2 linked regions of the Notamacropus eugenii genome follow. The protein of the gene in region 1 purifies or fractionates together with the protein of each later gene. This does not show direct contact. Links are inferred from orthologs where the notes say so. Each region holds a gene or a part of one and is shown on either strand. Other genes may lie near its edges.

Region 1 (7,676 bases):
CCTCCCCCTTGCCTTCCTGCAGAGGAAAACAGATTTCCATATCCAATCGAGTGTTTGTTATTCCCTCCTTAAGCCAAATCCCATGAGAGGAAGGCTCAATTATTTCCTTTCATCTCCCCCCTCTTCCCCTCCATTGTAAAAGCTCTTTCTTCCCTCTTTAATGTGAGATGATTTGCTACATCCTACCTCTCCCTCACTCTTACTCATAGTATATTCAACAGCAAATTTTATTTTTTTTAGGTATTCTCCCTTCATATTCAGCTCACTCTGTGCCTTCTGTCTGTGTGTGTGTATATATATATATAATGTATATATATACATACATATACACACATATATATGCATACACACATACACCCATGTACATATACATACCTACACGTATATCATATACACATGCATGCATGGGATAAAATGTTCTAAAGTGTGAACACTAACTATGATAGACCTGTGGTCTGTAGCACCAATGTGATATTCACAGCATCTACAGCAGCCATGAATATGCTGGCGTAGTTCTGAATTGCAAAGTATAACGGACTCTCCATGTGGAAGGCAGAAGAAAAACATTTTTTCAAACACCAGAAATCCATCATAGTAACAAAGAAATCTATACACAATACTAATGCAGCAGGCAACACCATCCCCAAGCCTTCTCCCTGGTAGGCTTCCCACAAACCAGCTCCTTTAAACAAAATCACAGACAAGCTCTCCCACTCCCTCTACTTCCTGCCTGCTCTTTCCCAGCTCTGACTAGTCTGACCAACTTCCTCCCAGCTCTTCTCTACCTTTCCTGTTCCACCTGTTCAACAAGTTCCTCCCACCACATGTAACTTGGGCTTCCATATGATTTAAGCAGGTCACATGGGCGTATGAATAGATGGGAAAGATCTTTAAATTAAGAAAATAACATTAGCAATACATGGTCTCTGCAATATTCCTCCACCAGTGCAGATCACAACCCATGGGTTTCTTCTTCTTCTGTGAAATTCTTATCTTTCCATGGATTGTCCAAAGCTCTCTGAAATGCACTTGAAGCCTTCCTCTGGGTAGTTCCCTCTGTTTTTCTAAAAAATTTTATGAGCAATAAACTGAATAAAAACATTTTAGCTCTAGAAAAATCAACTTCCATTTTCAATGGATCTATGATGTTGTCGATATGGCTAATCCTTCCAGAGCCCAACTCATCCATGTTTCCCCATCTTGTGCAACAATTTATATGTCTTTCTATAAATTCGTAGAGGATTCATCTAATATCTTGGGACCTTCCTCTTAACTGGTTAAAATTAATTTCATATATTCATGTAACAGGGAACATAGGGTAGAACTTATCCCCTGGTTTCTTTTTGGTAGACCACATACTCTGGTTATTTGCTAAAATGACATGGGTTCCTGTTTGTTCTCTGTGCGTGGCTATTACTGGGGGTTGTGTCAAAGGTAATTGTTGACAGAAACATTAACCAATCTGGGTTATAGGGAGCAAGTAGAGATGCCTTCCTCCTCTTTTTTTTTTTTCCAAAGGAAATTTCCTTGTTGGAAAATTGCTAACACTTGCTTTCTTTTGAACTTCAGTAAGGTGGTACCCATTCCTTTATTCCTCACCTCCCCACTGGCAACAATGGAAACTTCTTGTTCATGATAGCAAGAGCAAGAGCCTGGAGGAGGCTGACACAGGACCTCATGTCCTTGGCTGCTGCTTCTGTTTGGTGTTTCTTTTTCTGAAGCAAGGTCACCAAACAAACACTAATCCCATGAAATGGATGTTTCCAGTCCTGTTAACTTGCTGAGTTTGAGAAGATAGGAGCTTGTTACCCAGCAGGATGTGATTTTCACAACACCTTCTTTGAGAAGAGTACCATCACCAGGATTATTATGTAACTGAAAGGATTAAAAAGCCTGGGAGTATAAATCTGAAGTGAATGTGAAATACATAATTAGTAATTCTACAGTTATCTTTACCTCTCAGAAGAGTTTAATGGCAACTATGAGTTAATTTTTTAAGTACCTATAAATGTGTGCTTATGGACCTGGCACTTAGCACAATGCCTGGTATATAGTAGGTGCTTAATAAGTATTTATTGACTCAACTATTGAGTTTTGCATTTAAAAAATATTTTGGTAGAGGAAATAGCTGACATAACTGATACCTACTCCACTGAGGACCTTGTTAATCTTTTTTAGGGGACAACTCAGGCTGTAATTAAATTTTGTAATCCATAAAAGCACCCCAGCCTTTTTATATGTATGGATCAGGTTTGGTTTGGCATGTTTGCCCTGAAAACCTTTTCTTTTTTGGTTCATTTTATTCATGCCTATAGTTCTCTTGATAATCTCAAACTATTGCTTAGGTTTAGATCTCCACAGAGGTGTATAAAAGGGTCTCCAGCTTTCGTGAAAGACCTTAAGGTAACAATGCTATCCTGGTCATATTAGAAAGAAGAAAGGAGTAGTTGCAAAGGACCAAGAATAGGTCATGCCAAATGAACCTCATTTTCTTTTTTGACAAAAATTATTTAGCTGATAGATGAGGGGAATGCTGTAGACCTGCCTTTACCTTGATTTTAACTAAGATTTAGGGTGTCTCATACTATTCTTGTGGAGATGGACAGGTGTGAACTTGATGATAATGGTTAATGTCCATGTGGCAGGTCTTCAGTTGTGTCCTCGCCAGGAATCTGTGTTTGACTCTGAGGTGCTATCTCATATTTGGCATCCTAATCTCATTTGCAGACGAAACAAAGCTGCTAGAAACAACTAACATTCGATTAGTCTGAATCTCCAGACTTTTGACCAGGGCCTACTCTATGTTGCTTCACAGAAGGAGAGCTTGTTTGGGGCACGACCTGTTTCTTTTGTCTTTTGAGCTCTGGTTCCTAGCACAGTGCACACGTCAGGCACCTAATAGATACTATGGGGTTGACTGGTAGAAAGGGATTCCCAAAGCTGCTGTTACCCAAGAACTCCTCCTTCTGGCAAGAGAACTCTCCAAGAACTTAGCACTGTTCAGAAAATGAGTCCTAGACTTTAAATTTGGGGTTGCTAGACAGGTTTATCAGAGGCTTGTGATCAGAAACCCATCGTCTTGGCTAGATTTTTAAGTGGAGTCTTAAGTACAGCCTCTCCTTTACAGGTTCTGTGGGAGGCCAGGCATGGGGGTGGGGTTTGAGGAGGAAAAACCTTTGGTTTGGAGTTAGGGGACACGGGACTCTCATTTACTAATCCTGTGCCCTTGGGCAAGTCATAATGGTTCTGAGCCTCAGTTTCCACGTCTGATTTTGTCTCGAGTTGCTCTAGATGAAGTGCTTCACAAACCCTAAGGTACTATAGACACGTGGCCTTAGGTATCATGGTTATCAATCAGCAGGGTTAACAAATATTTCTACGTGTCGGCCAACCAGCATTTAGGAAGGACGTATATACACCAAGCACGCCTGGGCACACCAGAAAGGCAAATACCGGATTCTGTAGGAACTTCATTTCTTGTGGGAGCCGACATGCTGCATACTGATGCATACAAGACCCGTACAGAGGAGATACAAGGTGACGGCGGCTCTGGCAATGTGCGTGAGCACATTGATAGAAAAGGGCATTCCGTTCACAGAAGTGATCAGCAGGTGCCAATATGTTCCCTTTTCAGACAAGGTTTTGCTGGCCCCATGTACGACGGAAGGAGCGATTTGAAATACTTAAATGGCTGCGATTTATTTATTATTTTAATGGTAAAACCCATCAAAACGTATACACTTTAAAAGCACCAACAATATAATCTCGGGGAACTTGCTGTTTGTGCAGGAAGTCCGGATTTTCCCGAGAGAAGGACGGTTTCATGCGCTCCGCCCAGCCATTTCGGAGGAGCTGTTCTGTGATTTGTAGCCAAAGACAAGCAGGTCCCACTACCCGACTTCAAACACGGAGGTCTAAACTAGGCGGGGTTCGGGTTCCCCCCCAAAATCGCGTGGGAAGGATTGCCCCATGAGGGTCACGGTGTGATGGGGCTTTCCTTCGGGTCCTCCCCCCGCGCCCGGTCCCCAAGCCCCGCGCTCCGGACGCATCTCCTAGGTCTCGCTGTCCACTGACGGGCACCAAGCCCGCTTTCCCTTCCCATTCTCTCCGCTCAGCGGATGCTCTCGGAGTTTGGAGAAACTCCCGCAGCGCGCCGCCCGCCCCCAGTGCTTTTTCCCGCCCCGCTCCGCAGAGTAACGAGCCTAGGGCACAACTTCTAAGCGGCCGTGTGTGGCTGGAGAAGTGTCATCAGCTGTCATCCACGCTGCGCGCGGCCGGCTCGGAGGATGCTCCCGCCGACCAGGGAAGGGGGCTGCGCCGCGGTGGAAGGGGCGGGTCGGCTTCGGCCTCTCGCATTTCCTGTGACAGGGGCCGCTCCGGCCTCCCCCACCCGGCTCCAAGCGGGCGGCCCGACCATTTCCTGAATCGCTGGAGCGTAGGGAGGGCAATAGCAGGACTGTACCATTAGGACGAGGTGTATGTGGGGGGAGCTCTGGAGAAGGCGGACCGCTCCGGCTATTCTCGATGATGACGCGGTCACGAAGCGCGGCCCTCTCCCCACCCAGGACCAAGCTGGTAGTAGTGGGGGGGAGGGGGGTTCTTCTACAAAGAGAATGAGAGAGGGGTCCCGGCGGGCGGCACTTTCCGGCCGTGCGCACGCCCCCACGGGCTCCCCCCCCTCTGTGTCGCCCAGTGGTTCCACCCAAGAGCCAGGCTTCTCTCCCCCAGTTTGCTGTTCACCCCAGAGCGCCCGGGACTTGCTGGATCTCGGGGAGGGCTGCGAGAAGCCGATATGTCTGTGGCGTTCGCAGCTCCGAGGCAGAGGGGCAAGGGAGAGATCACTCCCGCGGCGATTCAGAAGGTAAAGCGACGCTCCGAGGAGACGGGCTGGGGGGGGGGGCGGGCCTGACTGGGAAGCGTCTGTATGTGTGTGCGCGCGCGCGCGTGGGGGAGAAGCGGAGCCGCGGGCTGTGGCCTAGTGGGTGCTGGGGGAACACTCCTTCCCCCAGCGGACTTTCCCCCCACCGGCTCTCGCTCACTTTCCCACCCGCACAAAAGCCCCGTCAGGCGCCGCCTGATTTCTCTGGGGATGGGGCGGCGGCTGACTTGTGAGGGAGCGCTGGGAGCAGGGAGGCGGCGGGCACGCGCTCCCCTGGCTGCCGGAGGACAACTCGAGGAGGAGGGGTAGGATGTGTGGGGGTGGGGGGGGACGCGGGCAAGTCTCTCGGGAGTTCGTGGCCCTCGCGCCCCCCACATGTCGCTTCTGGAGTTACTTTTGTGACGCCCCGCCCCCTCCCTGTCGCGCAGGCTCCGTGCGCGCAAGCGCGCAGGTGGGGGCGGGGAGCGGCGGCGTGCTGGCCGCTTCCCCTCCGGGCCCTCCTTGGCGCTGGCGCCGGGGTGCCCCCGGGAGGAGTGAGGGTAGGGGGCTGGGAGGAGCTGGGGGCCCCGGGTGCTCGAGGCGTCCCCTTCTCGCCTCCGTCCTTCCCTCCTCTCCCTCTGTCCTCTGACCTTTGCCCGAGGTGGGCAGCCAGCGGTCCGGGGCTCCGCTCGTATTGTGTTTTCGCCTTGATCGCCCGGAGGGAGGGCGGCGGCGGCGGCTCCACTCTGCGGAATTGCAGTTCTGGAACTTCGAAAAACTTAATTCCTACAGGATTTTTGTTGCTCGTCAAGCATCGTGGGGGTTTTCTTCTGTTTTTACTTTTGTTGAAGTTGAAGAAAGGGCCGCTCGAGACGTCCGACCTAATAAATCCTGTTGACGCGCTGCCTTTTAGAAAAAAAACAAAACACCCCTCTCCCCACGCACATTCGTGTTCCCGTAGGTTTAAAGGCTTGCCTTAATACCTGAGCTGTGCTTCGATGATGTAATTTTAATATTTTATAACACATTAGGGAGATACCCAGGCTTTAAAGAATGTGAGTATTTAGAATGGGAAAACCCAAATGTGAATTCTGGCTTGGCAACTTAACTATCTTTATGACTTGTCAGGTCACATCCTCTTTCGGAACTTCAGGTTTCTCATGATTAAAAAAAAGGCAGAAATTGTACTAGATTTTTACAGTGATTTTTAGAACTAAATCTTACAAACCTAAATATTTAAATCTGACCTAGGTTTTAAAATTTTCAGAGCCCTGTATTTGCATTGTCTCTTGGTTCTCACAAAAATCTCGTTGGTGTAGGTCCTCTTATTGTTACTTTTATCAATGAGTAAATTGCTAGTCAATAGTAGAGGTAGTATGAACCCAGTTTTTTCTTCTTGTGAGTCCAGCACGCTAATGCTTCCTCCAAACCCCTTCTTTTGTTCCTCTTTTCCCTCTCCTACTCCTCAAGATTCCTAGGATTTTGAGTTGGGTTAGTCATAATATTTACTAAACACCCACTATGAAGTGAGCCAGACATTGTGTTACATACACAAAGATACAAGAAAAGGTAAAAAGACAGCCCTTGCTTTTAAAGAGCTCACAGTTTGATGGGGGAGAGACCATAAAAACAGCTAAGTATAAACTACAGACAGGAAATTGAAAATAATAGAGGGGAGGCACTAGAATTAAGGAATCAGGAAAAGCATTCTGTGGAAAGTGGAACTGAAAAGTAGAATTTTAAAAAGTTGATCTAGTTCAACCACCCTCACCTTACTTTAAAAAACAAGTTCACAGACTTAGAGCTTGGAAGTAACTTTAATATTCACCTCATACAACTTCTAGTTTTTAAGATGAATAAACTGAGACCCTGAGAGGTGAATCGCCTTAGCCGTTTTCTTTGTTGTTCAGTGGTGTCTGACTCTGTGACCCCATTTAAGGTTTCCTTGGCAAAGATAATGGAGTGGTTTACAAAACCATTTCCTTCTCCAGCTCATTTTACAGATGGGGAAACTGAGGCAGATAAAGTTAAATGATTTGCTCAGGGTCACAAAGCTAGTAAGTGAAGCCAGGTCTGAACTCACAAAGATGAGTCTTCCTGACTCCAGGCTGGGCACTCTATCCACTGTGCCACCCAGCTGCCCACTAGTTACACTGGTAGAAAATGGCAGAGCTGAGAGGGAATTGAGACTATGGGAAGTGTGAGTAGTTTGCCCAAGGTCATGCAGATTTTTGTATTGTGTAAATGGGGTCAGAATATTGATAAAAGCAAAAGAAAAGGTAACTTGTTCCTTGAGAAGTGATAGAAGACTGTTTCTACTGACTATAAAATTTAGGCAGGTGGGTTTAGACTCCTAGTGAAACATTTATGGTACAAATAATAAAGATAAGAGCTAGCTGTGCTTCATTCTTAGCTGGCCTTGGTGACAGAACTAGGTTGGATTCAAGGCCTTCATCTGACAATATAGCTGTATATACAACTCTGAGAAAGTCACTTAACCTCCTAGTCTCCTTCGGCAACTAAGACTATAAGTTACATATCTATACCAGGTCAAACTTCCCTCCCACACTTCAATTATAGACAATGAATATTGTTAGATTCTGGAGTGGATCATCAAGGTGTTTTCAGTCTCCATCACTGGAGTCTTTAAAAGTAGCATAGAGTACCATCTTCCAGAGGTTGTATAGATATGACTCTTTTTAAAGGCAGGAAATATAATTATTCCTTGAGGTTTTTAAAAATCTTAATACAAATTATTTGGCCTTCATTGACCAGCCTTTTGTTGACAAAGAGTTTCAACCTAGTAGATAGAGCTAAA
Region 2 (8,168 bases), on another chromosome or scaffold:
AGGACCAGCCGGGAGTCCAGAGACCGCAGAAAATTCCCCTCTGTCCTTGGCACAGCCCAGGGTCTCCGGTTTACTCGGTTAGACCTGGTGGATGGTTTGGCTGAGCTGTGATCAAAATGTCTAGAATACGTGTATGTGTGTATGTGTGGTGTTTGTGTGTGTCTAGAATACGTGCAGACATACTACACATACATATGTGGTGGACTGAAAGAAGACTTGCTGGGGATGGTACTTTCAGAAATGAATTTAATACAAAACTAATGTATAAATAAGACTTCTTAGAAAAGAGCCTAGTAATAATAGACTGTTCCCTGGAGTTTTTCTGTTTTGAACTCAACCTCAAATGAATCGTGGAAAGATGCCTTTTGTTTAGGGGGAGTTTGGGGAGAATCTGTAATTTTTTTGGGGGGGTGTCTCTCAGTGGGAGTGCCAGAGATGTTAAGTCTGTTCCATGCTTTTCCTCTGCCCACCAGTGAAAACTGTCTCTTCTCCAGGCAGATTCTTCCTTTTTCATTTTGCACAGAAAGTTTGTTCTGGTTGGCCCTAGAAGGCGAGGGTAGGGGTGGGGGTGGCTGTATGGTTCTAGGGAGGAGCTTTTTAAATAGAGCTATTCAGAAGTGGAATGGACCTCTTCATGAAGTAACAAGACTCCCAACCTTGGAGGTCTTCAAGTAGACGCTGGAAGACCACAGGTCAGGGACAATAAAATCTACAGCTACCAGGGATTCTGGAGGTAAGCTAGTCATTTTACAGAGATGGAAGCTGAGACCTAGACAGGTTAAATGACGTGCGAGAGATCACTCAGATAGTATGGACATAGGATTTGAACTCAGGTCTACGGACTTTTGACCTCCAACCTAATGTTGCAAGCAGGTTCGTGCTTTGAGGAAAAGACTAGACTAACTGTCCTGTGAGGTCTCTACCAACTCTGGGATTCTATGCTTGCTGTCTGCTGTGTGTAAAGGAGCTGGTCTCTGAAACTCTGGGATTTAATCAGTGTGTGAGGGGCCCCATAGTAAGGTGTGTTGAACTAAACTCTTTCCAAACATTTATCTAGTTCCTACTGTATGCTTTGCACTTTGCCAGGCACCATACCAAAGGCAACAGGGTATCCGATGTGGTTTCTGCCCTCAGGAAGTCTACAGTCCAGATTAAAAAACAAACAAACAAGGCACTGTCAGGTGAGCAAACATAAAATGACAATGTGTCAAATTAGGGGGCTGGTTCTCATATCGAGTACTGTAATTGAGGAGAGCTGGGGAGGTCCAGAGGCTTCTGGGAAGAGGTGGTACTTAGGCTCTGTAGGATTCAGATTTGGCAGGTGGGAGGCATTGCAGCTAGAGACCCTCACCTGACCCTGTGGCTTTCAGTGTGACCAAAATTCACCTCAACCTGTCTGGCTTTTCTTAGTCCCTTCCTGACCCGGTAATACAGTCCAAGCTTTGGGCCCTTTGGCTTCTTGGTGATAATGAAAACAATTCACTAAAGGCTATGTTATAGGCTCTGAAATTGAAGCTAATGCTGGGAGCAGAGAGCTTTCAGAGGGGACCAGTTTCTGAGGCTAGATGAGATCTGAATGGCTGGGAAGGTTCGGGGCTGCCCTCTTTTCCTGCCTCACAGTAAAGGGTTTATAATTATAATTCCCTGAACAAAGTTGAGTGTGTGGGTGATGCTGAGTGGGGCCAAGAGAGTTTACATACCATCCATTGGACAGTGCCAGGTAGAGGACAGTTCGCCCCACCTCCTTGTCCTCAAAGAGCTTAGAATTTAGTTGGGGAGACAATGATAATAAAATATAATACATATAACTATAAAAGATAATAAAAATAATTAGGATAAAAATAATAAAAATCCCTAGAGAAATATTTCCATGGAGTCCTCCAGAAGTTTTCACATAGGCTCTCTCAGAAATCCTGTAAGAAAATCAGGGTGGGGGTTGCCCATTTTGTAGATGAGGCAACTGAGACTAGAGAAGGACTTACCCTGTTCTCAAATGAGAACAGGGATTGAACCCAGGTTTCCTGATGCCCAAGTCCAGGGGCTCTTTCTGTGACATCTCCCTGGACCTAAATTTGCCCTTTGGAACTGCCTCCTTCCAAGACATGAATTCTGGAAAGGTCAGACAAGCACAGCACCTTTCATGAGCAGGAAGGATGCTGGATGTTCAGTCAAAAGCATATCATCCTTTAGCCTTTCAGAGATGACAGTCCCAGCAGGCAGGAATCATTACAAAATCTTCTTTTGAGGCTAGCCTCCAAGAATGGAAAGGGTAGAAGACCCTCAGGGCTAGAAGGAGGCTTGGAGATAGCCGGGGCTTCAGTGGAAGGGATCTCACAGGCCTGATCTTACACATGAGGAAACTGAGGCCTAGGGAGGGCAAGTGATTTGCCCAAGTCTCCAGAGGTAGTATCCATCAGAGCCAGAATTTGAACATAGGTCCTCTGGTTTCAAATCCAGGACCTTCCCTCCCCTCTCCTTTCCTCCCCATCTATATCACACTGCCCCAAGTCTTGTGTTTTTCAGAGTGTTCCATAGAGCCCTCAAGTAAAAACTATGTAATGTGAATTGAGATTCTAGGAGAAAAGTCTGATGCTTGTGACATTTTCCTCTTAAAGTATTAAATGTGAATCAATGTCCCTCCCTATCTCCATGCCCAGGTGGTTTTTTCTTCCTCTGCCCTCGGATCCACAGATGAGGATTCATGGATTCCATCAGAGTAGCTGAACCCAGGGCAGCCAGGTAGTTCAGTGGATAAAACACCAAGCCTGGAATCAGGAAAATCTGAATTCAAACCTGGCTTCAGACACTGGGTGAGTTACTTCACCCTGTTTGCCTCACCTATAAAATGAACTGGAGAAATATCTATCAAGAAAACTCCCAAAGGGTTCCCAAAGAGTCAGGGCTGAACAACCGCAAATCTGAACCCAAAGTAGTTTAGGAAGCTCTGCCCCTGAAGACAAAGTCCTTCTTTTCACAAATAAGGCAAGAGACCCAGACACAGAAAGGGTAAGGGAAGAGAATAAAGCCTTTATTAAGTACCTACTGTGTGCTAAGTGTTTACAAATATTATCTTATTTGATCCTCACAACAATCTTGGGAGGTAGGCACTATTATTATACTTATTTTACAGTGGGGGAAATTGAGGCAAGGGTTAAGTGACTTGCCCAGAGTAACACAGGTAGTGAGTATCTGAAAGTGAATTTGAACTCAGGACTTCCTCATTGCTCTGTTTACTGACCCCCCAGCTATTTCTGGAGTTCTCCAGTCCTGGGTTTCTCTGGCCCAAACTCCTCTCTGGCTTTGCAGACCTGGGCACCTAGAAGAATCTGTGGTGGATGATGTCAAAGACAGGCAGAAAAAGGGACAAGGGTCTTCTGGAGGACATGTAGGCATGGACAGAGTAGGGCTTTAAAGGTTGGCCAGGATGTTCTAGACTTAGGAACCCATGGGAAACAAGGGCATGAATATTTGTGACAGCATGGCCTGGTCCTGGGCCATAGTGGTCACCTAGCTAACCCCTCTTTATACAGATGAGGAAACCAAGGACAGATCCCCCAGCCACCAGATTGGTCCATCCTGCAGAGGAGGAGATGAGGGGAGCAGTGATGTGAATTGAAGCTAGAGGTGGTCTTCAGGGAACTATTGAGGTGTTCCACGGCCCTTCCAGTGTGTAGCACTCCAAGTCTGGGCACCTAGACTTACAGGATGCAATCTCCATAATTATACCGGACCTCCAAAGCCAGCTGGTCCAACTCTCTCATTTTTTTGCAGAGGCATTTTAAGGAAGTGGTTTAGGATCTCAGCTCTCTAGCTAGAAGGGATCCCAGAGAACATCTAGTCCCAAACCTTTATTTTAGGGAGGGGAAACAGGCCCAGAAAAATGAAGTAACTTTCAAGGTCACACAGGTGGTAATTAATCAGAGGTGGATTTGGACCCCAGCCAACCCTTTCCCCACTGTATCTATCACAATGTATCTTTCACTCTTTTTGCCTGATCCAGTATCTCTGTCCAGTATCTCTGCCAAGAAAACCCCAGATGGGGTCATGAAGAAGCAGAGCTGACTGAAAAGACTGAAAGACTAAGTATCTTTCACTCCTTGACCTTGCTCTCTATTCCTAAATACCTTGTATTTATTTTGTCAGTAATTCACATCTATTAGAATGTAAGCTTCTCCAAGGTAGGAACTGCCTCTCCCTTCCTACTTTTTTTTGCCCTTAATATATCCAGAGCTTAGCACAGGGGTGGGACAACCTGCAGCCCCGAATTTGAGGGACATACAGGGCCTCAAGGTGGCAGGTACCCCATCCCCGCCTTAGCATACTGCAGGGTCTTAATCAAAACTTGATTGCCAGTTCTCAACTAGAAAAGCACTTCTTAAAAGTGCTCTGAGGGGATTCAACCCCCTCTCCCCCGAAAATAAGGGACCCTACCCTTAACGAACTAGGTCAAAAAGCTGGCAGGTCGGTTAGTCAGTAAGTTAGCCTTTATTGGGAGCCAGGGTGCTAACTGCTTGCTAGAGATACAAAAAAAGGCTTAAGTCAAAGCGAAGCCCCACGATCTTTCCTCTCAAGGAGCTTACGCACCTCCCCAAGAAAATACAAAGTAATTTGGTGGGCAGGAGGGGAGAGCACTCCCTGTTAGTTGGTGTCCCTGGGGTGAGAGAGGAATCAGAAAGGGTAAATGGATACAAACATTTATTAAACAATTACTAGCAGGAAAGGGGACACAAGCTGAGCTGGTGGCAGGAGCTGGGGGAAGGGAGGGCATTTCGGGCACGGAGGTCCGTTCGTGCAAAGGCACGGAGGCGGGAGATGGAAGGAAGCGGGGGATGAGGGCAGCCTCGTGCCCGCGGCTGGCCGGGCGGGCTCGGGGGCCGCGCGGGGCGGAGCCAGCTCGGAGCCCGGCCCCCCGCGAGGGCGGAGGGAGGCGGGGGCGTGGGGCGGGGAGGGAGGGGAGGGGAGGGGAGGGGGGGGAGGAGGACGGGCAGCATGCATGGTTTTTTTCTCAGCATTTTAAATTTTCTTTAATTTTCCCCGGGCGGGCGGGGGGCGTCCCCGGCGCGCGCGCGGGGCCCGGGCGGCGGCCGCGGGGCGGCGAGGGGGGCGGCCCGGGGCGGGCGGGCGGCCATGCGATCAGGCACTGCGCTGACCGGCCCGGCGGCTCGGCCTGCTCTGGGTCCTCCCTGTGCAGCCCGTGCGGGGACGTCTCGGAGACCCCGCGCCGACGGCTGCTCAAACATCACGGTGAGTTTGTTACAATGTAGCAATTTCTCTTTAAATCTCTTAACTCTCCCTACCTGCGAGTCGGGGCTGTGACAGGGCGCCCGAGCCAGGGGGGGGCCGGGGGGAGCCCCCCCGCCCCCCCCCCCGCCGGGAGCGGCGCTGCTGCCTTTTCACAGCCTCCCCCACTCCCCCGAGCCAGGGGGGCCCCCCCAAACCCAGCGCCCTCCCGCCCGCCCCCCTCTGCGGCGGCGGCGGCCCCGGCGGCGGGCACACAATGGAGCTTCCGAAAAATGATACATAACGTTCCATCGGGCGGCGGGCGGGCTGGCGGCCCGGGGGGAGGGGAGAGAGAGAAGGGGGGCGCGGGAAAAGGGACTCCCCTCTCCGTGCCCTCCCAAGCCACCCCCCGGAGCCCCCCTTATCTTCCCTTTGACACCCCCCACCCCCGATTTGGGGGCGGAAGAGAAAGAAATGGGGGGGAGGTGGCGCGGGGAAGCTGGGAGTGTGAGTCGGTAGATGGCCGGACCGGGGAAGTGATTTCCCGGTTGGAGGTGGCAAGCCGTCCTCACCTCTCTCCCGCTCTCCTCCCCTCCCCCTTTCCCCCTGCCCCCAAACCAAGAATGCTCGGTGGAACGTGGGGCCCCTAGTGAACATTTTGGGGGAGGTGGAAGGATGAGGAGGGATCCCTTAAAGGATGGATAAACTCCTCCTCCCACCCCAAACAATAAGGCGAGTTGACTTTCTCCTTCCCTCCCCATCTCCAATCTGGCTTGCCAGGGGAGGGAGAAATCTTGAGGGACCTAAGGACCTAGTGTAGAGGAAGGGAAGCCAGGCTGGATCCCCTCCCCCTGCCTTCCCCAGCTTCAGCTTTGTCACCCCCTGAGGGGTTTTTCTAGTGGGGGGAGGGGGGGACTTGAGGGAACCAGCTTCTAGTGTTTTTGTTTGTCCCCGGCCCACCCTGTCACGGCCTTGGGCTCTGGGAGCCGGGAAATGAGTGAGGGGAGATGTCAGGGGGCTTGAGGGGCCAGATCTGCGAGCCTCTGGTGGTGACCTTTGTTTGACAACTCCTCTCTGATGTCTGGGCCTGGAAGCCAGCACTGGCCGCCTCGGTCCTCTTCCCTTGCTCAGCCAGTCGGTGGATTCCTTTTTTGGGCCTCGCCGGCTCTCCCTACCCCTTTCTCAAGCCCCTTTTTTTTAACTGGAGGGGAGTCGGAGAATTCGGGTCAGCAGACGGTGGTGGCCGGAGCCTGAGCCTCTCTGGAGAATGGCCCCACTCTGGGGGAGGGGGAAGGAAGGACTCGCTGAGAAATCCCTGCTGCTACTGGCCTGGGGGCACTGCACCGAGGGACTGGCTTGACCTGGGGGTGGGGGGCGGAGAGGGTTCTCGTCTGGGGCCCCAGCCTCTTGTAGCCCTGCTTAGGTCTTTGTTTTTCTTCTTTGTGGTTTCCACAGCTCCAGTCCCTCGTCAGTTGGGGGGTCGGAAGCTGGGGTGGGTCTCCCAGGCTTGGCAAGCTTATTCTGCTGGCTGGGACAAGAGCACTCCCCTGGAGTGGAGGAGGAGGACAGGTGTCTGTGAGTCTCCCCCCATGTATCCAGAGGCCAGACCTCCGGGCTTGCCCAGCCCCAGCCCCCCTAGCCGGGTGATTTATTATGCCTTTAGCCACAGAACTTCACCGGCTAGTTTGGGGGTAGTGGTTAGTGGTTTTGTCATTACCCTCTTGGTGGCTGGAGCTTTTTTTTTTTTTTTTTTGACTCCAGGGGATTTCTCAGCCAAGGCTCAGGACACCTGTGACTTTCCTGCGTCTTCCCAAACCCTCCCCTCAGCTCTGAATTTATACCCTCACTTTCTCTGCTTCCCGAGTGGGAGAGGCCCACTCTCTGGGTCCTGTAGTCCATGGGTAATGCTGGATGCCACCAGTTGAGGACAGTTCCTCCACTGAGACTGGCCATAGGCACGAGGGGACCCCTTCCCTCTCTCCCCATTCCTCTCCTGCCTGGTTTTCTTATGCCCCCAATTTAGCCTGAAACATTTCATTCCCTTTGCTGGAGTCTGGGGGAGCTGTTTTATCATTTATTAAAATGGAGGTGGCCCACGGAAGGACAAAATTGAAAGTTGTCTGAGTTGTCAGCCCTGTTGAGAATGAGTTTAACCAATCCCTCCCTCAGTGACTGGGGCAGTTAATGTTTATAATCAATCTTCGTGGGGATGCAGAGGCATCAGAAGGAGATGGCAGTTGGTATAGAAAGATCTCTGGACTATGAGAGACCCAAGTTCAAACGCTCCCTTTCCTGTTACCTGACTGTGCTACTGTGGCCAAGTCTGTTCCCCTCTCTAGGCCAATGTCCCATCTCTATAGCATGAAGGGGTTGGATCAGATTCTGCCTTCCACCGATGAGGTCCTGGGTGATTCTGTGGGCTGGGTGGGGAGGGGCAAAGGTTGGTTGAGCCTCTGCACCTGTGACTGCCAGTTCTTCCTGTGATCTCCAGTTCTTCCTGTGACCAGGCAGGTGCTCTCTTGGAAGCCTGGAGGATATGAGGAGTGTCTTGTCCTCCCTCAGTTTCTAGGGTGGGATAAGGAGAACTCCCCACTTAGCACCTTGCAGTACCCCCCAATAGTATATACGAGTAAGCATTGATCTTACAGATAGATACAGGTCCTACCTTCCCCTGTCTGACCCCTCAAGTAAAAAGACAGATACCTGGACTTTGGGAGGATTCAAGTGAGAGATGTCTCTGTGGAGCTGAGAATGTGTGGCACTGTGCCTGACAGTTTGGTCTGGTGTGAGCAGGACCCTGGGTTTGGACTCAGATGCCCCCTCTCCATCCCTGGCTGGACCACCTGAAGTGACAGATACATGGGACTTGGGCAGCATTGAAGGGACTTTTTTACTGGGATCATACCCAGAGCTGGTAGGGACCTTGGAAGGAAACCAGTCAGTCCAAA

Evidence for each region.
Region 2: the proteins of SS18 (region 1) and BICRA purify together in Homo sapiens (affinity purification with mass spectrometry; 3 studies listed by BioGRID and IntAct, counting the BioPlex papers as one, with this or other methods). This does not show direct contact. The link is inferred for Notamacropus eugenii from reciprocal best matches to the Homo sapiens genes SS18 and BICRA.

What each region holds. Positions count from the first base shown.
Region 1 is NC_092875.1:250,753,363-250,761,038, reverse strand, and holds the start of SS18 (protein SSXT), read left to right. Parts: upstream 1-4,463; 5' UTR 4,464-4,478; coding exon 4,479-4,861; intron 4,862-4,989; exon of another isoform or gene 4,990-5,184; intron 5,185-7,676. UniProt on the Homo sapiens protein: Appears to function synergistically with RBM14 as a transcriptional coactivator. Isoform 1 and isoform 2 function in nuclear receptor coactivation. Isoform 1 and isoform 2 function in general transcriptional coactivation.
Region 2 is NC_092876.1:29,526,199-29,534,366, forward strand, and holds the start of BICRA (BRD4-interacting chromatin-remodeling complex-associated protein), read left to right. Parts: upstream 1-5,114; 5' UTR 5,115-5,244; intron 5,245-8,168. UniProt on the Homo sapiens protein: Component of SWI/SNF chromatin remodeling subcomplex GBAF that carries out key enzymatic activities, changing chromatin structure by altering DNA-histone contacts within a nucleosome in an ATP-dependent manner.